2 linked regions of the Macaca fascicularis genome follow. The protein of the gene in region 1 purifies or fractionates together with the protein of each later gene. This does not show direct contact. Links are inferred from orthologs where the notes say so. Each region holds a gene or a part of one and is shown on either strand. Other genes may lie near its edges. The genes, in order: LSM14A and DDX6.

What was found.
Region 2: the proteins of LSM14A (region 1) and DDX6 purify together in Homo sapiens (affinity purification with mass spectrometry; 4 studies listed by BioGRID and IntAct, with this or other methods). This does not show direct contact. The link is inferred for Macaca fascicularis from reciprocal best matches to the Homo sapiens genes LSM14A and DDX6.

The regions. Positions count from the first base shown.
Region 1 is NC_088393.1:41,494,736-41,506,029, forward strand, and holds part of LSM14A (protein LSM14 homolog A), read left to right. Parts: intron 1-6,038; coding exon 6,039-6,202; intron 6,203-8,442; coding exon 8,443-8,572; intron 8,573-11,294. UniProt on the Homo sapiens protein: Essential for formation of P-bodies, cytoplasmic structures that provide storage sites for translationally inactive mRNAs and protect them from degradation. Acts as a repressor of mRNA translation. May play a role in mitotic spindle assembly.
Region 2 is NC_088388.1:117,619,587-117,630,880, reverse strand, and holds part of DDX6 (probable ATP-dependent RNA helicase DDX6), read left to right. Parts: intron 1-1,444; coding exon 1,445-1,591; intron 1,592-3,489; coding exon 3,490-3,584; intron 3,585-6,749; coding exon 6,750-6,872; intron 6,873-7,890; coding exon 7,891-8,019; intron 8,020-9,565; coding exon 9,566-9,682; intron 9,683-10,833; coding exon 10,834-10,897; intron 10,898-11,294.

The sequences.
Region 1 (11,294 bases):
AGTAATCCCTCCTTATTTCCCCCATACCCTGTTAACCACTAACCTGCTTTCTGTCTTCATGGCTTTTCCTATTTAGGGTATATTATGTAAAAGGAATCATACACTGTGTGACGTTTTGTATCTAGCTTCTTTTACTCAGCATAATGCTTTCACGCTTCACTCTTGATGTAACAAGTATCAGCATTGTGGGTTTTTTATGGCTGAATAATATTTCATTACATGTATTTTAAAATATATATAACATACATATAAGATATATAGAGAACGTAATTTGTCTTTTCATTTGTTGATGGGTATTTGGGTTGTTTCTACCATTTGGCTGTTATGAATAATGCTGATATAAACATTTGTATACAAGTTTCTGTGTGGACATAATATAATCTCTGGCACTTTGTTTTGGCAGCCCTAGCAAACTATATTGTGTGCTTTCTTTCCAGTGTAGTGCTTAGCACACTTGCCAGACTATAAGTTCCCTGAGGGTGAGGACATAAATATAATGCCTGCCTAATATTACTTAAATATTCTAAGCCTGCTGAATTATTATTTTCATTAATTCATGATAATCCCCCAGATATCCCAGAATCAGATCAGTATCTATTCAGCTACATTTTGACTTAATAGTAGTAGTATGGCTTAATCTGAAGCCTAATGCTGTGTTAGCTTCAGAGATTAGGATGTTGAGAAACCAATAGTAGTACTTATTAGAGGCATTGCAAGTGGTATTGAGTGTTTAGTGGACCTTCAAATCCAATTCAGTGACATCACATCCAAGTAAGCAAATAGATTGAGCTCCTTGAGAATAGGAACTGGTTTCCCTAGCATCTAGCATAGGACCTGGGACAGGTGGTGCCCAGTAAGTATTTGAAAGAAACGGGATGAAATGCAATGACATACAGCACCTATGTTCAGCTTAAAGCTCTAGTCACATTACCTATGGGTATTTACATTGGAATGTGTAGTTGCTGTAGAATCCCAAAATGAATAATAGAGTAAAAATGTTCTTTCTCAAAGTACTATGTGTTATGAATGAAAAAAATAATAATAATTAGAACATAATTCAGATTTTGCCAGCCAGGCAAAGGCATTTGTGCTGTAATCTGAGGTATGCCTTCCTGCACTAAGAGGAATGGGGTTTATGGGAAAACTAGGATTAGGAGCAGACCATTAGAAATCTGTGCATCTTTGTAATTTAAGCACTAATGTAAACCTAATAAAAAATACTAGTGTGCTTAAAGATAAGTTAAAATTTTTAAACAAATAATTCGGTAAATTTATAACTTTCCCTTTAAAAACAGTAAAGGTAACCAGAAGTGATGGCACTACTCATGGCTAGGTGTATTTAACTGTTGTTACCTGCAAATGCAAAAACTAAATAACATTTTAGGAAAAACTGGAAATGAACCAATGTGATTTCTGAATGTACTGACATAATTCCCTTATTTACTGATTGCATATGAGCTAATGTATGTGTTGTAGTAGAATAGTTCCGGTAGCTCTTTACCTTTTCTATGCTTGTCATGCCTCCTTCCTCTCTACTCTTAATGCTCAAGTTTTAACCTTCCAGACTTCTCATTTGTTCTGTAACAGTATCTTCTAGCCATATGTGCCCTTCTAATCTGTCTTGTGGAATTTGTTCTTCACAATACTACAAGAACTTGATTGCACTGAAAACCCCAAATCTTATTAAGCCAGCCTCCATCATTAGAGCATGTTTCTCAAACTCTTGGTGTGTGCAAATCATTCTTATTCTGTGATTTCTGTTTTCATGCTTTTTCAGTTTGCTTCATTTGCCATATGATAGAGTTTTTCTTCATACCATATTTTGGAAAGTATGCTCTTGGTTTTAAATTCTACTATGGGTTATTTCCAAGACCCATAGTAGAATTTAACAAATTCTTTCAAATAAAAAATTTTAAAGCCTTCGCTTAGTGTCAACTAACCAAAAAAAAAAAAAAAAATGTGTCAAGTGACTCCTACTTGACATGATGAGAGATGAAAGTGTAAGTTTAGATACTACTACTGTCTGTTCAGTTTTCCTTTTTCTCCATTCATTTTAATCTCCCAATTTTTGTTAAAATGTTGTGATATACTGTTCTTAGTTTGTTACACTTTGTAACTTTCTAGTCTTTTCCAGAACTATTTCTATTCTAGAACCATAGTAAATTGTCATGTACACATCTTTGTTTAAATGAATTTATTGTCCATTTCTTATCTTTGGATGCCACTTTTTTTGCATTCTTTATTTTGATATACCATAACATAAGTCTCTGTGGCTTGTAGTGGTCTGATGTTTTTTTTTTTTCCTGGAAATACAGTGAAAACTTTTAATGAAATTTAGACCTTCATGTCAAGACATTTCTATTCTGTTATAACTTTAATTTTATTTTCTCTTATTCTTTTGTCTGTCTCAGGGGCAGTAGTTAACTGTTGGATCTTCATAACTATCATCTTTTCTCTAACCTTTTTATTACTGTACTACTTTTTCATGACATCTCGTTTACGTTTTCTCAAAATTATTGTCTTCTAGTGATTTGGTTTTAACTGCATTGACTGTTGATGCATTTATTAGTTATGCTGTTTTATTTATCTTGTATAATTTTCTTTCCTTAATTCTGCATGCTACCCTTTCAGTGTTGTTTTGATCATAAGAGTCTATGCTGTTTTTCTTGTGAATGTCGAAGCAGTCCTTTCAGAAAATTTCTTCTATTTTCTGTGATAAATACTGATACTGAATGTATTTCATCCACCTTTTGAAGACTGTGTCCTCTCTGTCAGGGCAAACCGCTGGTAGTGGAAAAAAACAGAATAAGCAAATGAAGACCGTGTCCTCTTTGATTCTTCTCTTCTTTCCTGCCTTTTTTCTTTATTTTGATATACCTTTTTCTTTCCTTCCATCATTGCCTCCCTCCTTTCCCTCTTTTCTTCCCTTCTTTCCATCTTTCCTGTAAAATTTATCTTGATTCCCTGATGTTTCTACTTTTTTTTCCTTAGTAGGTCCTTTCAGTATCTGCTGCTTGCGAAAACGTGAAATGCAGATTCTCTTTTACTTCACTCTGAGTTCACCTGGCTAAGCTCTATTAGGCCTTAGGAAGCTTAATAGAGCTTCTCTAGTTTTGTAGAAGAAGGGCCTTTGACTCTTGCCCCCTCTGCTTCAGGATGATCTCATCTGCTACTTTGGAAGCGTGAGACTTTATTCGCTGTGATGGTACTGAGGTTAGGGGTGAGATTGATTTATTTGTAATTAGTCCTTTCTCCTCCTTACCCTTCCTTTTGGATAAAGGTAAAAATATAAAATCCTCCTGCCTGCTAAAGTACTGTTTGGCCACCAGAGAAGGGGAGTTTCAGGTAGGGCGTTCCGCATTTTTTTCCTCATCACACCTGTGTCCCTGTCCCCATCTTAGCAAGTTGAAGATGCTAGTCAAAATTTCTCTCAGGGGAGGAGAGGGCAAGGGATACTTACATATGGATTCTGGGCTTGGTCTTTCAGTTTCAACTAACTCATTCTGTACCTTAATTGTACTGTTTAATAAAATTTCATGGTATGAGTTTGAGAACTTTTCGTGATTTTAGGGATATTTTAACTTCCTTTTTGTTTTTTTCCTTTAGTTTTAGGGAAGGATCTTCTGCCAAACTACCTGTGCCACTATCTTTCCTGAAAGTCTCATAAGTACTAGAAAGAACTTTTAGAATAAGAGTGTAGGACATTATTTACACTGAAATAATATTCTTTTTTAATTATTTATTTATTTTAAGTCAGATTGTTGCTCTGTCACCCAGGCTGGAGTGCAGGGGCACCATCTCGGCTCAGCTCACTGCAACTTCTGCCTCTTGAGTTCTGCCAATCCTCTCACCTCAGCCTCCTGAGCAGCTAGGACTACAGGTGCACACCAACGTGCCCAGCTAATTATTTTTTGTATTTTTTGGTAGAGACAGGGTTTCACCATTTTGTTGAGGCTGGTGTCAAACTCCTGACCTCAAGTGATCTGCCCACCTCGGCCTCCCAAAGTGCTGGAATTACAGGCATGAGCCACTGCATCCAGCCTGACATTCATCCTTAATCTAGCGCTGCATCAGTTCTGCAACAACAACAAAAAAAGCATATGCATTAAAAATGTTAAGGGGGCCAGGCGCGGTGGATCACTTGAGGTCAGGAGTTCTAGACCAGTCTGACCAACATAGTGAAACCTCATCTCCGCTAAAAAAAAAAATACAAAAATTAGCTGGGTGTGGTGGCACACGCCTATAATCCCAGCTACTCGGGAGGCTAAGGCAGGAGAGTCGCTTGAACCCAAGAGGCGGAGGTTACAGTGAGCCGAGATCGCGCCACTGCACTCCAGCCTGGGCAATAGAGTGAGACTCCATCTCAAAAAATAAAAATAAAAAAGGACCGGGTGCGGTGGCTCACGCCTGTAATCCCAGCACTTTGGGAGGCCGAGATGGGCGGATCACGAGGTCAGGAGATCGAGACCGTCCTGGCTAACACGGTGAAACCCCGTCTCTACTAAAAATACGTTTAAAAAAATGAGCCAGGCGTGGTGGCGGGCGCCTGTAGTCCCAGCTACACAGGAGGCTGAGGCAGGAGAATGGTGTGAACCCGGGAAGTGGAGCTTGCAGTGAGTGGAGGTCGTGCCACTGCACTCCAGCCTGGGTGACAAAGCAAGACTCCGTCTCAAAAAAAAAAAAAAAAAATGTTAAGGGGTTTATTACTTCCTTTAGGATACTCTTTAAAATGAATAGTATATGATGTTTCATATTCTCTATTTGGAACTTCTCTATGGATGCAGACATTTTCAGAAATCTCCCAGGACAATGAACCTGAAACTTTTGTATTTATAAGAAACTTGGGATTTGGTTATTTTATTTATTTATTTTGAAATAGGGTCTTGTTCTGTCACCTAGGCTGGAGTGCAGGAGCACAGCCACGGTTCAGTGCAGCCTCAATCTCCCAGACTCAAGAGATCCCCTCATACCTCAGCCTCCTTATAGCTGGGACTACAGGCGTACACTACCACACCTGGCTAATTTTTTTAATTTGTTTTTTTATTTTTTGTAGAGACAGGACATCACTATGTTGCTAGGGCTGGTCTTGAACTCCTGGGCTCAAGCAGTCCTCCCACCTTGACCTCCCAGAGTGCTGGGATTATAGGCGTGAGCCACTGTGCCTAGCCAGAAATTGGCTTAAAATGCAGATTTTTGGACCATGTCCCCAGCAAAAAGATTCAGTAGAAATCTTTATTTGTAGCCAGCTTACTGTGTTGCAGGTGGTCCCTGGTTTAACTTTGAGTAATGCTATCTTCATTGTTAAAATAATCAGATTTAATTATATGGTAGATATTTTAGGTAACTAGGGTATTTCAGGCTGTCCCATGGGCCTGAATAGCTGGCAGCTACTCGGCTTGGCTTCTAGAGGACTTACTGCTCAGCAAGGTAAATAAATTAACAGTGAGCCAGGCACAATGGCACAGGCCTGTAATCCCAGCACTTTGAGAGACTGAAGCAGGAAGATCTCTTGAGGCCAGGAGTTCAAGACCAGCCTGTGCAAAATAGCAAAACCTCATCTCTACTAAAAAATAAAAAAAATTAGCTGGGCTTAGTGGCACATACCTGTGGTCCTAGCTACACGGGATGTTGAGATGGAAGGATTGCCTGAGCCCGGGAAACGGAGGCTGCAGGAAGCCGTGACCACACCACTGCACTCCAGCCTGGGATACAGAGACCCAGGCTCATCAATAAATAAATAAATAAATAAAGGACATTTTAACACCTCACTACAACCACTAAAGATACAAATAAATAAAAATATAAGAGGAGCACAACCTTGTAATACTGATAGTCTTTTATATTGCGTATATTTAACTTCAGGCAAAACCCACTCTATTTTCCTCTTTTAAAAAAATTATTTAGCTATAGATTAATGAATACTTTCTCAGACATTTCAGAACTACTGCTTAGTACTTGAAATACAACACTTAGAATCTGGGGTACTACCTGAATGTAATGAGTAGTCACACATCTCATATCCTTTGTTTTCTTGCCAGTTCGATCCTTTGGTACAGAAGACAGACCGACAGATCGTCCAATACCACCTCGAGATGAAGTCTTTGAATACATTATATTCCGTGGGAGTGACATTAAAGACCTTACTGTTTGTGAGCCACCAAAACCACAGTGTTCTTTGCCTCAAGACCCAGCTATCGTTCAGGTAACTGATGGTAAATTTGTCTTGGAGTACAGGTAAACTCCACACAGGGATAGCCTTGGCTTTTTTCTTTCCAGTTGAATGTTCATGTAGCTTATCATTTTCAAGTTACCTGGATACCTGAAATTACTGGATAATGTTCTCATCTAGGTTTTTCTCTAATCATAAATTAGAACTAAGATAAGAAACAGCTGAAGAATTTGTTATGAAATATTTTCTAATGTCAACAACAATTGCGGTAGCTAACCTTGAAGGCTACGCTGTGGAAGTGGTGTACATATAAGACACCCTCTGAGGTTGGTGCCATAATTATTCTCACTTTTAACAAGTGAAGAAATTCAGGTAGAGTCACTATTTGAACAGATCCAGGCAGCCTGCTTTAGAATCTAGAATCCGTGCTACCATGCTATTGAGATAGGGTTTATATTGCAAACCAGGGCAATAACAGGTACTCTTAGGTAAGATTATTAGGCTTAATGGGGAACAAAAAGCGAAATCACATTGTTCTGCTTATGTTACGATATGCAATGTTGGGGGGTTTTTTTTCTTCCTTTTTTTTTTGAAACAGTCATTGGAGTACAGTGGCGCGAACTCGGCTTACTGCAACCTCCGCCTCCCTGGTTCAAGCGATTCTTCTGCCTCAGCCTCCTGAGTAGCTGGGACTATAGGCACACACCACCACGCCCGGCTAATTCTTGTATTTTTAGTAGAGATGAGGTTTCACCATGTTGGCCAGCCTGGTCTCAAACTCCTGACCTCAGGTGATCCGCCCACCTCAGCCTCCCAAAGTGCTGGGATTACAGGCATGAGCCACTGTGCCTGGCCCACAATGTTATATAATAAGAAAACACAAACATAAATGCATTTTAACATATTTAGGTCAACTCTTAAATCTCCCAATTTAAACTTTTTAATCATCTACTCCTACCCTTGTTAAGTCTTATTTTGGTGAAAGGAAACCTGAAAGAATCGGAGAAAATGTAAATCTCTTTATTTTATTTATTTACTTTTTTTTTGAGATAGAGTTTTGCTCTGTTGCCCAGGTTGCAGTGCAGTGGCGCGATCTCGGCTCACTGCAAGCTCTGCCTCCCGGGTTCATGCCATTCTCCTGCTTCAGCCTCCCAAGTAGCTGGGACTACAGGCGCCTGCCACCACGCCCGGCTAATTTTTTATATTTTTAGTAGAGACGGGGTTTCACCGTGTTAGCCAGGATGGTCTCGATCTCCTGACCTCGTGATCCACCCGCCTCAGCCTCCCAAAGTGCTGGGATTACAGGCGTGAGCCACCGCGCCTGGCCGAAAATGTAAATCTCTTTAAATGGAGAAGGAAGAGACACTTTCTTAATAGAGATAGCTCCCTACACCAAACACTGGTGTTACCTTACCGTCTCTTTTATATGGCTTTCGATAATTCTCCAGGAAACCAGTTATTTGAGTAATCAGTTTTATAGAAGGAGAAAAACTAAGAGAGTGCATATGAAAATGGTGTTGAGTAACTTCTTCCAGTCATCACAAACTTCTGCTTGATCTTCTTATTCATTCATTCCGTAGTATTTACAGAGTGTCTGGCATGTACTTAACACTAGTAGTGAACACAAAGAAAAGGTCCTGCCATCAGTGAATGTATGTCCTGGTAGCCTTTAATACACTTCATGTTTATATTATGAAACAGTTTATAATAAGATAATATATGAAGTACATGTATTAGTATATGTTATATATTTTATATGCTTTAGGTTTAAGTTAGTTTTTATAAAATGTTCCTCCACTTAATATAAGTAAACATGTAAATGGTTTTATGTGGGATATGTTTGTTTCTGCATCTCTTTCATGTGAATATAATAGTAGGCCTCAAATGATTGAAAATAAGAGTGAAATCACATGTGAGATTTATATCAGCATCAGACTAAAACCCATTATTACTAAGTGTGATTTTTCTCATATTTTTCTTTAAGCAAAGTTACTGTACTTAAGTAACTTTCTTTCCTCAATCTATAAAACTCTTAAATGGGGAGTTTAGTGTAGAAAAAGTATTCGTAAGTTACATTGAGTATAATTGGCACATTATAGACAAATATTGAAATCAGAAGGTCGTTTGGCTATTTTAATGTTAAGTGCATGTTGTAATTCGTTTTATATTTAGTAGTTTTAATAGTTTTCTTAAAAGTGTAAAAATCTGGAAATTTTTTTCATTATATACATGTTGCTTAGAGCTTGGAAAGATAACTCATGATTTTCCTTCAGTCCTCACTAGGCTCATCGACTTCTTCATTCCAGTCCATGGGTTCTTACGGGCCTTTCGGCAGGATGCCCACATACAGTCAGTTCAGTCCAAGTTCCTTAGTTGGGCAGCAGTTTGGTGCTGTTGGTGTTGGTATGTTTTCTTTTTCTTTTATTTTTTTGTTTGTTTTTGTATTCTTCCTTTCTTTGAGTTTATAGAAACTCAACACAAACTTTTAGAAATGTTGTTTGATGTTTCCTTTTGTAACTTTGTTTTATGGCATTCAGAACATATTTTGATGATATCTTAAAGCCTTTATTTAATATTCTTAATGATATTAGTGGGTTTTTAAAAGTCAGTTTTCACGAGGTAACATTTTTTTTACACCTGGGTATATCCAGTATCTACCAAATCTTATTGGTAATTGGATTTTTTTTTTTTTTTTTTTTTTTTTTTAAGACAAAGTCTCACTCTGTCACTCAGGCTGAAGTCCAGTGGCACTATCTTGGCTCACTATAACCTCCGCCTCCTGGGTTTAAGCAATTCTCGTGCCTTAGCCTCACAAGTAGCTGGGATTACAGTATGTATCACCACACCTAGCTAATTTTTGTATTTTCAGTAGAGGTGGGGTTTCACCATGTTGACCAGGCTGGTCTTGAACTCCTGACCTCAGGTGAGCCCCTGTGCCTGGCCTGGATTTTAATTAATCAATTTTTTTTTTCTTTTTTTTTTTTTTGAGGCAGAGTCTCACTCTGTTGCCCAGGCTGGAGTACAGTGGCATGATCTCCACTAACTGCAACCTCCATCTCCCAGGTTTAAGCAGTGCTCCTGCCTCAGCCTCCTGAGTAGCTGGGATTACCGGTGTGCACCACCACTCCCGGCTAATTTTTTTGTATTTTTAGTAGAGATGGGGTTTCACCATGTTGGCCAAGCTGGTCTCGAACTCCTGACCTCAAGTGATCCACCCACTTCAGCCTCCCAAAGTGCTGGGATTACAGGCATGTGCCACCAAGCCTGGCCTAAAACGTTTATTTTAAACATACATAAGACATGCACACATAAAGATACACATAGCATGATTGAGGGCTTGGTGTTTTGTTTCTGTAACACTGGGTTTGAAACAAAACTAATGAGAATGTATAGCAGGGCTGAGCGAATGACAGGCTTACTTACGGCTGGAGGGTCAAGGGCTATTGAGTGCAAAAGCTGGATGTAATCAGATTAGCTCAGTGTTGTTTTGTTTTTATAGCTGTGCATTTTAGTGTTTAAGTACACCTTTATTCCCACGGTAAAGAACAGCTTTAAAAAAAAAAAGCAACTTTAAATCTCAAGCTTTTGCCCCTAATCTTTTAAAATTTCTTTGAAATAATTATATTATCAGTTTACTGTTTCACTGCACCACAAATTTAGTTTCAGGTGTATCTTGACACTCATTAATATGCTAACAAGTTTTATTAATATTATTAAATTCCTTCCAATGAATATACTTTTTATACAGGTGTGACTTAAGCATTTAAATGTTTTACTTATTCACAAAATAAAAAAGAACGGCAAAAAAAGCAAACTAAAACTGAATGAGCTGGGCGCGGTGGCTCACGCCTGTAATGCCAGCACTTTGGGAGACTAAGGCGGGATAGATCACCTGAAGTAGGGATTTCGAGACCAGCCTGGCCAACATGGAGAAACCGCACCTCTACTAAAAATACAGAATTAGCTGGACGTGGTGGTGCATGCCTGTAATCCCAGCTACTCGGGAGGCTGAGGTAGGAGAATTGCTTGAAACCCAGGAGGCAGAGGTTGCAATGAGCTGAGATCGTGCCATTGCACTCCAGTCTGGGCCACAACAGCGAAACTCCGTCTAAAAAAAAATAGATAAAACTGAATGAATATGAACAGAGATACCACAGATGCTATTACATATTAAATTGATAATCACACAGAAGAAAAAATAATTCAGATGACTTTTACGCACTTAGTAGGATATATTCTAACAACAAATAGAACTATTTAGAAAACTTGACTTTGATTTGTATTATTGGTGTTTTTGGTTTTTGGGTTTTTTTTTGTTTGTTTTCTTTTTTTTGGAGATAATATCTGGCTGACACCCAGGCTGGAGTGTAGTGGCACGATCCCGACTCACTACAACCTCTGCCTCCCAGGCCCAAGCCATCCTCCCACCTCAACCTCCCAAGTATCTGAGATTATAGGCGTGCACCACCACTCCCAGCTAGATTTCTTTTTTTTTTTTTTTTTTTTTTTTTTTTTTTTTTTTTTGTATTTTTTGTAGAGACAGGGTTTTCCCCTGTTGTCCAGGCTGGTCTCAAACTTCTGACATCGAGTGATCTGCCTACCTTGGGCTCCAAAAGTGCTGGGATTACAGGTGTGAGCCACTGCACCCAGCCAGGTGTTAATTCTTAAACTGTTTTGTATGTATTATAGAATAGGGCAAATGAATAAAATACTTATATTGGGAAATAGTGTTTTTACCATGGAGAAGGGAGATATAAATATGGAATGGGAAAGGTGAGAAAGAACCCTGTGATGCTGAATGTAAATAGATGGTATGAGTATGGACCCATTTTTTAAAAACTGGTGAGTTCCTAGCTCTGTTCATAGAAAGGACCTAGAAACAATGGAAACCCAGTAACAAAGAACACATGTAGACTCAGTTTCTAAATACCACTCCCCACTAAAAGGAACCAGGGCCCATTGAAAAACAAAGGAAAAGATCTACTTTTTTCACATAAAGATGTCTGCTAATAAGTAGAAGGAGTGGTAAATAAAATTGATAAAGAAAATTGCCATTTTCTAATCTCAGTATAATAGTTAGCAAGGATTATCATTACATGTTGAAGTCATTGGGTGAAAGGTGTTA
Region 2 (11,294 bases), on another chromosome or scaffold:
AGGTGGAGGTTGCAGTGAGCCAAGATCATGCTACTGCATTCCAGCCTGGGCAACAGAGCGAGACTCTGTCTCAAAACAAAAAAAGAAGCAGCAGCAGCAGAAGGCCGGGTGCAGTGACTCACACCTGTAATCCCAGCACTTGGGGAGGCCGAGGCAGGAGAATCGCTTGAGGTGAGGAGTTTGAGACCAGCAGGGCCAACATGGTAAAACCCTGTCTCCACTAAAAATACAAAAAATTAGCTGGGTGTGGTGGCGGACGCCTGTAATCAATCCCAGTTACTCAGGAGGCTTAGGCAGGAGAATCGCTTGAACCTGGGAGGCGGAGGTTGCAGTGAGCTGAGATGGCGCCACTGCACTCCAGCCTGGACAATAGAACAAGACTCCATCTCAAAAGAAAAAGAAGAGTGTAATATTTATGTGATAGTATTGCTGAGGGAAAGTCTAAATCTGGGACACTATAATAAGTTCTCTTTTTGTAAAGAGATTTGTCCATTTGAGTTTTCATAATGTCCTGTGAGTCTTGTGATGATTCAACTTTTAGTTTTTTTGATTTTTTTAGTAGAGATGGGGTCTTGTTACGTTGCCCAGGCTGGTCTCAAACTCCTGAGCTCAAATGATCCTCCCGTCTCAGCCTCCAAAACTGCTGGGATTCCAGGTGTGAGTTACTCACTGTGCTACCCAGCCCAATTTTTTAATACATCTCGGTGTCTAGATTATAAGGGCAGTGTTTCCTTTTCTTTTCTTTTCTTTTTTTTCTTTTTTTTTTTTTTTTTTTTTTTTGAGTTTTGCTCTTGTTGCCCAGACTGGAGTGCAATGGTGCGATCTCGGCTCACTGCAACCTCTGCCTCCTGGGTTCACGATTCTCCTGCCTCACCTCCCTAGTAGCTGGGATTACAGGCATGTACCATCACGCCTGGCTGATTTTGTAGTTTTAGTGGAGATAGGGTCAGGCTGTTCTCAAACTCCAGACCTCAGGTGATCCACCCACCTTGGGTGGATCCCAGCACTCCCAAAGTGCTGGCATTATAGGTGTGAGCCACCGCATCTGGCCGCCTTTTTTTTTTTTTGAAGCTGAGTCTCATTCTGTCGCCCAGGCTGGAGTGCAGTGGCGTGATCTTTGCTCACTGCAACCTCCGCCTCCAGGGTTCAAGTGATTCTCCTGCTTCAGCCTCCTGAGTAGGTGGTATTACAGCTGCGTGCCACCAAGCCTGGATAATTTTTGTATTTTTAGTAGAGGTGGGGTTTCACCGTGTTGGTCAGGCTGCTCTCAAACTCCTCGTGATCTGTCCACCTTGGCCTCCCAGAGTGCTGGGATTACAGGCTTGAGCCACTGCATCATAAGGGGCAGTATTTCTGTAGCTTCTTGAATTTTGTAAATATAATGTATAGTATGTTCTCCCACCTCACCCCATATTTTCTCATATGTTCCTTGATGTTGTTTCAGCAATGGTGATTGTTCCCACTAGAGAACTTGCTCTACAGGTCAGTCAAATTTGCATCCAGGTCAGCAAACACATGGGAGGGGCCAAAGTGATGGCAACCACAGGAGGAACCAATTTACGAGATGACATAATGAGGCTTGATGATACAGGTAAGAAATGATTACTAAAAGGTAGTGTAGCTCTCTGTAATTTTAGTCTCAAGTGTTTCAGTAAATTATTAAAAATTATTTTTAAGAATTAAGGAACAGAAATCCTGCAGTAAAAAAAGGAAATGACCATTGCATTCAAGAGAAAAAAACAGATTGACGGTAATTGAAAGCAATATTTGACTTTATTACTAATTCTAAAACAGCAAGTTTATAGTAATTTTACCTGTTTAATTGGTAAAGCTAAAAGTAGTAGTAGACATTAATGTGAGTTTGTGGAGAAATAGGCTATGTTGTAAACGTGGGGGTGTCAACTTATCTCTATCATGAGCAATTTGGCAGTCTTATTTTAAAATTATAAATTATATTTTTAAGAATCTTTCCTGAAGAAAAAAGTTGGGTAAATGTAGGGCTGTATGTACAAAGTTGTTTACTATGGGGTGGTTTGTCGTGCCAAAAAATTGGACCAACTTAGAAGGAGATTGGCTAAATAAATACATTATAGTCTGAATAGTATTCTACATAGTCATTAAGGAGTGAAGTTGATCTGTATTCATTTTCATTAAGATTTTCATGATACATTGCTGAGTGGAAAAAGGTAACAAAACAGCAAGAATGAGATCACTCATAAAATTATATCTAAAATTTTAGTTAGAATACTATATATAATTATGTGATATATTCTTTGTATTGCATAGGTTTTTTAAAAATTGTTATCTTGTTTGATCCTTTTAACAATACTCGGTTCACTGTTCCAGATTAGAGGCATTGCTTTTATGTCAGAAGTCTGGTGTGCCTTCTGTTATTAATTGGGAATTACCCTAAGACAAGAAAGTATGCCTCCTGTTGGAAGCAGGTGATTTGGGAAGCTGTACCCCACCCAGTGTAGAGGTGAAAAGTATTTTTTAAGCATCCTGCGGTGAAATGGAAGACTTTATCCTAAAACACATCTTTGGACCTTTTTGTGTTATTCCCACCTCTATAACACAATGTGTTTCTTTTCTTTTTTTTTTTTTTTTTTTTTTTTTTTTTTTTTTTTTTTTTTTTTTTCTGAGACGGAGTCTCGCTCTGTCACCCAGGCTGGAGTGCAGTGGCCGGATCTCAGCTCACTGCAAGCTCCGCCTCCCGGGTTCACGCCATTCTCCTGCCTCAGCCTCCCGAGTAGCTGGGACTACAGGCGCCTGCCACCTCGCCCGGCTAAGTTTTTGTATTTTTAGTAGAGACGGGGTTTCACTGTGTTACCCAGGATGGTCTCGATCTCCTGACCTCGTGATCCGCCCGTCTCGGCCTCCCAAAGTGCTGGGATTACAGGCTTGAGCCACCGCGCCCGGCCGTGTTTCTTTTCTTTCTTTTTTTTTTTTTTAATTTGAGGCACAGTCTTACTCTGTTGCCCAGGCTGGAATGCAGTGGTGTGGTCTCGGCTCACTGCAACCTCTGCCTCCTGGGTTCAAGCGATTCTCCTACCTCAGCCTCCTGAGTAGCTGGGATTACAGGCTCCCACCACCACACCCAGCTAATTTTTGTACTTTTAGTAGAGACAGGGTTTCACCATGTTGACCAGGCTGGTCTCGAACTCCTGACCTCATGTGATCCACCCACCTGGGCCTCCCAAAGTGCTGGAATTACATGGATGAGCCACGGTGCCCGGCCTAGTGTTTCTGATAAAAGATAGTCATGTGCTGCATAACAATGTTTTGATCAGTGACAGACCGCATGTATGTCGGTGTTCCCATAAGATTATAATGGAGCTATACAGTGGAGTAGGCTGTACCATCGCATAGCAATGCATTTCTCAGAATTATCATTAAGCAACTGAGGACTGTAATATGATAAACCTTTACAATATCCTTTTTGCCCAAATTAAAATTAATGAGAATATATGTTTTCTAAATCTTGCATAGTGCACGTGGTGATTGCTACCCCTGGGAGAATCCTGGATCTTATTAAGAAGGGAGTAGCAAAGGTTGATCATGTCCAGATGATAGTGTTGGATGAGGTAATATCTCTTCATTTGGCATTATACTATTCTGTACTTTTCTGTGCTTTGCTTATAACTGCCAGTGAATGAAGCAAAAGCTGCTTGTGTTTATGATCTAGTAAACACATAAGCGATCAGTTTAAATTAATTTGCTTATAAAATGTGTTTTACCTGTCAGCGGGAGTAGATTATAGGCATTCATTGGAATTCTCCTTTTTGTCTTTTTCTTAGAGATAGCAGAGATTAGGTTTTATTTTCATTTTTTAGAAGAGGAGTGAATAACCGCAAAGCCAAATTTATTCTACATCTCTTTCTACTCGGCGATTAATTTTTTTTTTTTTTTTTTTTTTTTTTGAGACGGAGTCTCGCTCTGTTGCCCAGGCTGGAGTCCAGTGGCCGGATCTCAGCTCACTGCAAGCTCCGCCTCCCGGATTTATGCCCATTCTCCTGCCTCAGCCTCCCGAGTAGCTGGGACTACAGGCACCCGCCACCTCGCCCAGCTAGTTTTTTGTATTTTTTAGTAGAGACGGGGTTTCACCATATTAGCCAGAATGGTCTCCATCTCCTGACCTCGTGATCCGCCTGTCTCAGCCTCCCAAAGTGCTGGGATTACAGGCCTGAGCCACCGTGCCCAGCCTCGGCGATTAATTTTTAAAAGCATATAATATATATTGTCTCCTTTTGTGCATACTACTTTGTAGTGTTTGGTTATTAATCTCTGTTAGACATATTATCTCACCATGTTATAAATGCCTTTTAAAAACTTATTAAAATCTGTAGTCCTGGGATCTAGCCATGTTTTGTACATATATAGATGGTCCCTGACTTACGATGGTTCACTTTATGGTTTTTCAGTGGAAGTGATAAGCTTTTATTAGAAACCGTACTTTGAATTCTTAAGATTAATTTTTTTCCTGGTTAGTAATATGCTATATGATATTCCCATGATGCTGGGCATCAGCAGCAAACTGCAGCTCCCAGTCAGCCACATGATCATTGAGGGTAGACAGCTGATACTGTACAGTATACGGTGTTGTCAAGTGATTTTGCCCAACTATAAGCTAAGTGGAGCATGTTTCAAGGAGGCTAGGCTAAGTGATGATGTTCAGTAGGTTTGGGTAGTATTTTCAACTTAGGATGAATTTATCAGAACATAATCCCATTGTAAGTCAAGGAGGATCTGTAGTGTATCAGTGTTAATGTTTTGACATGAGGTTATTTTCACATTTGGTTTGTGTTTTATTATTATTACTATTTTTTTGAGACAGACTCACTCTGTTACCCAGACTGGAGTGCAGTGGCGTGATCTCGGCTCACTACAATCTCTGCCTCCCGGCTTCAAGTGATCCTCATGCCTCAGCCTCCTGAGTAGCTGAGATTACAGATGTGTACTACCCACACTTGGCTAATTTTTGTATTTTTAGTAGAGGCAGGTTTTCGCCGTGTTGGCCAGGCTAGTCTTGAACTCCTGACCTCAGGTGATCCTCCCGCCTCGGCCTCTCAAAGTGCTGGGATTGCAGGTGTGAGCCACCACACCCGGCCTGGTTTGTGTTTTAGGTAACATTTAATTCAAATCAGGCTTTTATCTTTAAGTAATGAGAGAAAACATTTATTAGTCACTGGGTACCAACACTAAGTGCTTTACTTTTTTTTTTTTTTTTTTTCATTTAATCTTTACAAGAAACCTATAAGGTAGGTGTCCTGTCAAGTAGTTACTATAGTATGTAGACATCCAGATTTTAATTTGCTTATAAAATATGTTTTATACTTCAGATGCAGTAGTTAGGCATTCGTAGGAATTCAGCTTTTGTCTTTTTCTTACACTTGCCAGAGTTTAGGTTTAATTTTTAAGAAGAGGAGTGGCTGGATAACTTGAAAGCCGAGTTTTTTCTTTTTTGTTGTTTTGGTTTGGTTTGGTTTGGTTTTTTTTTGAGACGGAGTCTCTTTGCCCAGGTTGGAGTGCAGTGGCACAACCTCAGCTCACCGCAACCGCAACCTCAACCTTGTTCAAGCGATTCTCCTGCCTCAGCCTCTCGAGTAGCTCGGATTACAGGCATGTGCCACCATGCCCGGCTAATTTTATATTTTTAGTAGAGACAGGGTTTCTCCATGTTGGTCAGGCTGGTTTTGAACTCCTGACCTCAATGCTTTGCCCGCCTCAGCCTCCCAGTGTGCTGGGATTACAGGTGTGAGCCACCACACCTGACCTTAGCCAAGTTTTTTCTAAATCCCTGTAAAGTAGTTACTACATGATGTAAACATCCAAATTTTAGTTTTACAGTTTTACAGTTGTGGAAACTGAAGTACAGAGTAGTTCTGTAACATTCCCACACAGCTAAGAAATGAAGGAGGCAAGATTTCAACCTGGCAGTTTAGCTCCAGAATCTGTACTTTTTTTTGAGACAGAGTCTTGCTTTGTTGCCCAGGCTGAAGTGCAGTGGTGTGATCTCGGCTCACTGCAACCTCCACTTCCCAGGTTCAAGCAATTATTCTGCCCCAGCCTCCCAAGTAGCTGGGATTACAGGTGCAATCCACCACACCCTGCTAATTTTTGTATATTTAGTAGAGATGGGGTTTCACCATGTTTGTCAGGCTGGTCTCGAACTCTTGACCTCGTGATCCTCCTGCCTCGGCCTCCCAAAGTGCTGGGATTACAGGCGTGAGCCACCGTGCACAGACAGAACCTGTACTTTCAAACACATATACAATACTACCTCTTTAATGAGAATCATCACATTAAAATTCTGTTGAGCTGGGCTTGGTGGTATGTGCCTGTAGTCCCAGCTTCTCAGTAGGTTGGTAGGCTGAGGCAAGATGATCACTTGAGCCCAGGAGGTTCAGGCTGCATACAGTAAGCTATGATTATGCCACTGCATCCCATCCTGGGTGACAGAGTGAAATGCTGTCTCTAAAAATAAATTAATTAATTAAATTCTGTTATAGAAGGGGGGAGGTTTATCTGTGTAGTGTAGAATTTTTTTTTCCCCTAGAAGATGGGGATCATAGATTCTGCCCCCTTATGCATATTTGACTCTGCAGTGTTGGAGAGAATTTATTGTTTTCCACCAGGAACATTTCATGGATGCTTTTGTTGGATGATGCCTTATTCTTTGACCATGTATTAACCAAAGACCTTAGACATTATTTTATTGTTTTTAAAATTGTCTTTTCTTTCTACTGCAGGCAGATAAGTTGCTGTCACAGGATTTTGTGCAGATAATGGAGGATATTATTCTCACGCTACCTAAAAACAGGCAGATTTTACTATATTCCGCTACTTTCCCTCTTAGTGTACAGAAGTTCATGGTGAGTATAAATCTGTACTTGGAATCAGTGCCATCCTATGATCTATGAGTATGCTTTTATTCATAATTACATCTTCCTATCTGTGAAAATACTTTATACTAATTATTTCAAGCCTTTGGCTCTTTCTTCAGTTGATCAATTAAAGATTTGTTTTACATAAATTAACTGACTTTTTAAGAAGGTTGTAATAGTAATTAATTAAATTCCTCATTTTTCTCTTAGTTTTTGGTGTCATGATGACATAGCCATTGGTGCTAGCTGAATTGATTCCAGTATTATTCTATATACAAAATAGAGTTTGAGTATCGTAAACTGAAATCCAAAATACTGCAGAATTTGAAACCTTTTGAGCCACAAACATGATGCTAAAAGGAAATGTTCTTTTGATTTTGAATTTTCAAATTAAGAATGCTCAGTCACTAAGTGTAATGCGCATATTCCAAAATTAGAAAAAATTTAAAACCTGAAACGCTTTTGTTCCTGAGCATTTTGGATAAGGAATACTTAACCTGTAGTAACTTAGCTGCATTTTTGAGATCTTATATCTTAATTTATTTCTAACGTGTCTTGCGTGGTGACTCAGGCCTGTAATCCCAGCACTTTGGGGGGCCAAGGTGGGCAGATCACAAGGTCAGGAGTTCGAGACCAGCATGGGCAACATGGTGAAACCCCCGTCTCTACTAAAAATACAAAAATAAGTCTGTTGTGGCAGCGTGTGCCTGTAATCCCAACTACTCGGGAGGCTGAGGCAGGAGAATCACTTGAACCCAGGAGGTGGAGGTTGCAGTGAGTGGAGATGGTGCCACTACACTCCAGCCTAGGTGATAGCAAGACTCCATCTCAGGGCAGCGGGGGGAAAATTCTGTAATGACAGATCATATATTTTGTTTTGAAGAGAGTTGCATCCCTTATAGCAAGAGTTGATTAGACAGAAACCTATAGGGTGGGTATATTTTGAATTTGAGATGAACTCTGCTTTCATTTAAGAAGAACCATCTTTTTTTTTCTCCCCTCCCAGAATTCCCATTTGCAGAAACCCTATGAGATTAACCTGATGGAGGAACTAACTCTGAAGGGAGTAACCCAGTACTACGCATATGTAACTGAGCGCCAAAAAGTACACTGCCTCAACACACTTTTCTCCAGGGTAAGAAGTAGGCTTCTGCTGTTGAATATTATCTCTCGAGTCCCAGTAAAACAGATTATTTCATCAGTTTTCCTACCATCTTCACTGTATAAAAGTTCATAGTGTTTCTGGCTTGGCGTGGTAGCTCATGCCTGTAATCCCAGCATTTTGGGAGGCTGAGGCAGGCGGATCACGAGGTCAGGAGTTCGAGACCAGCCTGGCCAACATGGAGAAACCCCGTCTCTACTACAAAAAAACAAAAAAACTAGCTGGGCGTGGTGGTGCGTGCCCATAATCCCAGCTACTTGGGAGGCTGAGGCAGGAGAATTGCTTGAACCCAGGAGGCAGAAGTTGCAGTGAGCCAAGATCACGCCATTGCACTCCAGCTCTGGGCGACAGAGCAAGACTCCATCTCGGGAAGGAAAAAAAAAGTTTTTAAAAAATTCATAGTGTTTCCTAAAAGGCAGTTTTAATTGTTGACCTAAAGTTGATACTAAATGATTAACAAGTCACAGATACACTTTTGAATAGTTTCTGAAATACTTAGACCTTTACTAGGGTTAATACTCATTATTCACATATTCTGTATTTGTGAGTTTGCTTAGTCACTAGAATTTATTTGTAACTCCAGAATTAATACTCAAGGCAGTTTAGCAGTCATTTGTGGACGTGTACAGTGTGGCAAAGAGTTTAAGTCACCTGACACGCACATACCCAGCTGAGGTTGAAGAAGACAATGCTCTGTCCTCTTGTTTAGCTCTCATACTGTGAACAAGTATCCTTTTCACTGTGCCATATTTTTCAAATTTTTGTTGCTGATTTCACGGTTTTAATTGACCCCTACTCATGGTGCTGAAGTGCTGCCCAGTGCTAGTGGCATTGGTTGTGAGTATATTAAAGATGTTCTTGGCTGGGCACGGTGGCTCACACCTGTAATCCCAGCACTTTGGAAAGCTGAGGTGGGCAGACACCTGAGGTCAGGAGTTCGAGACCAGCCTGACCAACATGCTGAAACCCCGTCTCTACTGAAAATACAAAAATTAGCCAGGCATGGTGGTGGGTGCCTGTAATCCCAGCTCCTCAGGAGGCTGAGGCTGGAGAATCCCTTGAACCCAGGAGGTGGAGGTTGCAGTGAGCTAAGATTGTACCATTGCACTCCAGCCTGGGCAACAAGAGTGAAACTCCATTTCTCTCTCTCTCTCTCTCTCTCTCTCTCTCTCTCTCTCTCTCTCTCTCTCACACACACACACACACACACACACACACACACACACACACGTATTCTTAAATGGAAAAACAAAACATAACTACTTGGAATCAGATAATCAATTGTATTACTCTTGTTGACAGTTATGTGGCCCTTAAGAAATATACTCTAATACAATAAATCTTAGATATTATTATATTCCATCTATTAAAGTACTTAGAATTTACCATCTCTCTCATATCATAAGATTCTAAATTTTAGACCATGTTAATGTTTCTTGTTTGCTGGTTAGTGTTTTCAAGATTTGGCAAGCCAAATGAAGGTTTTAATTTTTCTCATACTTATTTTTTCTGTGCTCAGCTTCAGATAAACCAGTCGATCATTTTCTGTAACTCCTCTCAGCGAGTTGAATTACTAGCCAAGAAGATTTCTCAACTGGGTTATTCTTGCTTCTATATTCATGCTAAAATGAGGCAGGTGAGTATAAAACTAGAACTTGCACAAATTTAACAAGAAATCTCTGATTTTATTTTGTTTTAATGTTCTTTTAAATGTCCTGAGTTTAAGAATAAACTGTTCCTTAGTAGCCAAAGGACCTTTCATTTTGACCTACCTAAGGTTCATTTTCTAGCAATAAAATAGAGATAATAGTACATATTCATAACTTACAAGGTAGTTAGGAAAATTAAGGTAAATGTTTAAATTTGTAAGCTGTCAGGCATAATACAAATGTAAAATTGTATTCTTCCTTTCATTCCCATGTTTAATTCTCTGTTTAATCCAGTAACCACTAGCCACATGTGGCCATTTAAATCAGTTAAAATTAAAATAAGGCCGGGCGTGGTGGCTCAAGCCTGTAATCCCAGCACTTTGGGAGGCCGAGACGGGCGGATCACGAGGTCAGAAGATCGAGACCATCCTGGCTAACACAATGAAACCCCGTCTCTACTAAAAATACAAAAAAATTAGCCGGGCGAGGTGGTGGGCGCCTGTAGTCCCAGCTACTCGGGAGGCTGAGGCAGGAGAATGGCGTAAACCCGGGAGGCGGAGCTTGCAGTGAGCCGAGATAGCGCCACTGCACTCCAGCCTGGGCGACAGAGCGAGACTCTGTCTCAAAAAAAAAAAAAAAAAAATTAAAATAAAAAGTCAGTTTCTCAATCACAGCCACGTTTCAAGTGCTCAGTTAGGCACCTGTTGCTGCTGGATACTGTATTGGAAGTGGAAGTACAGACACAAACATTTCCTTTATTACAGAAATTTCTACTGGACAGCATTGCTCTGGATTTTTAAATATGGCCCCTCAGCTAGCTGATTTTTCTTTTTTCTTTACTGTTTGCCTTTAGAGAAAGATGCAATGTCTAAATTTCAGAATTTGATTTAGCAAAAAATAATTTAAAACTTAACAAAATGACTTTTTGTTAACTACATTATGAAATTTCGTAAGTAAACAGTTTCTGTAGATGAAGAGATCAATAACTTAACTCATATTTGGTTTTGAAAGCAGCTTAATGTCATGGATCACTTATAAACAGGTTTTGGGTAGAACCGATCGACTAGGAGAAATAATCATGGGAAATTTGGGGCTGTATATGAGTGCTAATCAAATGGAATAAATTGCTTTCTCCTAGGAACATCGAAATCGTGTATTTCATGATTTCCGAAATGGCTTATGCCGCAATCTTGTTTGCACTGGTAAGTATTTTTGTATTTCCTTTACCCAGTGTTTTTCTCCCAAGTTCTTTTTTGCTTTCTTTGTTCATACTGCACGGTGCACCCTGTGACATAGTCCAGCACACCCTACCAATACTTCTAGGATTTCTTTTTTTTTTTTTTTTTGGTGGGGGGGGTGGATGGAGTTTGTGTCACCCAGACTGGAGTGCAGTGGCATAATCTCAGCTCACTGAAACTTCCACCACCTGGGTTCAAGTGATTCTCCTGCCTCAGCCTCCCAAGTAGCTGGGATTGTGGGCACCCGCTGCCACACTCAGCTAATTTTTGGTAGAGATGGGGGTTTCACCATGTTGGCCAGGCTGGTCTTGAACTCCTGACCTCAGGTGATCCGCCTGCCTCGGCCTCCCAAAGTGCTGGG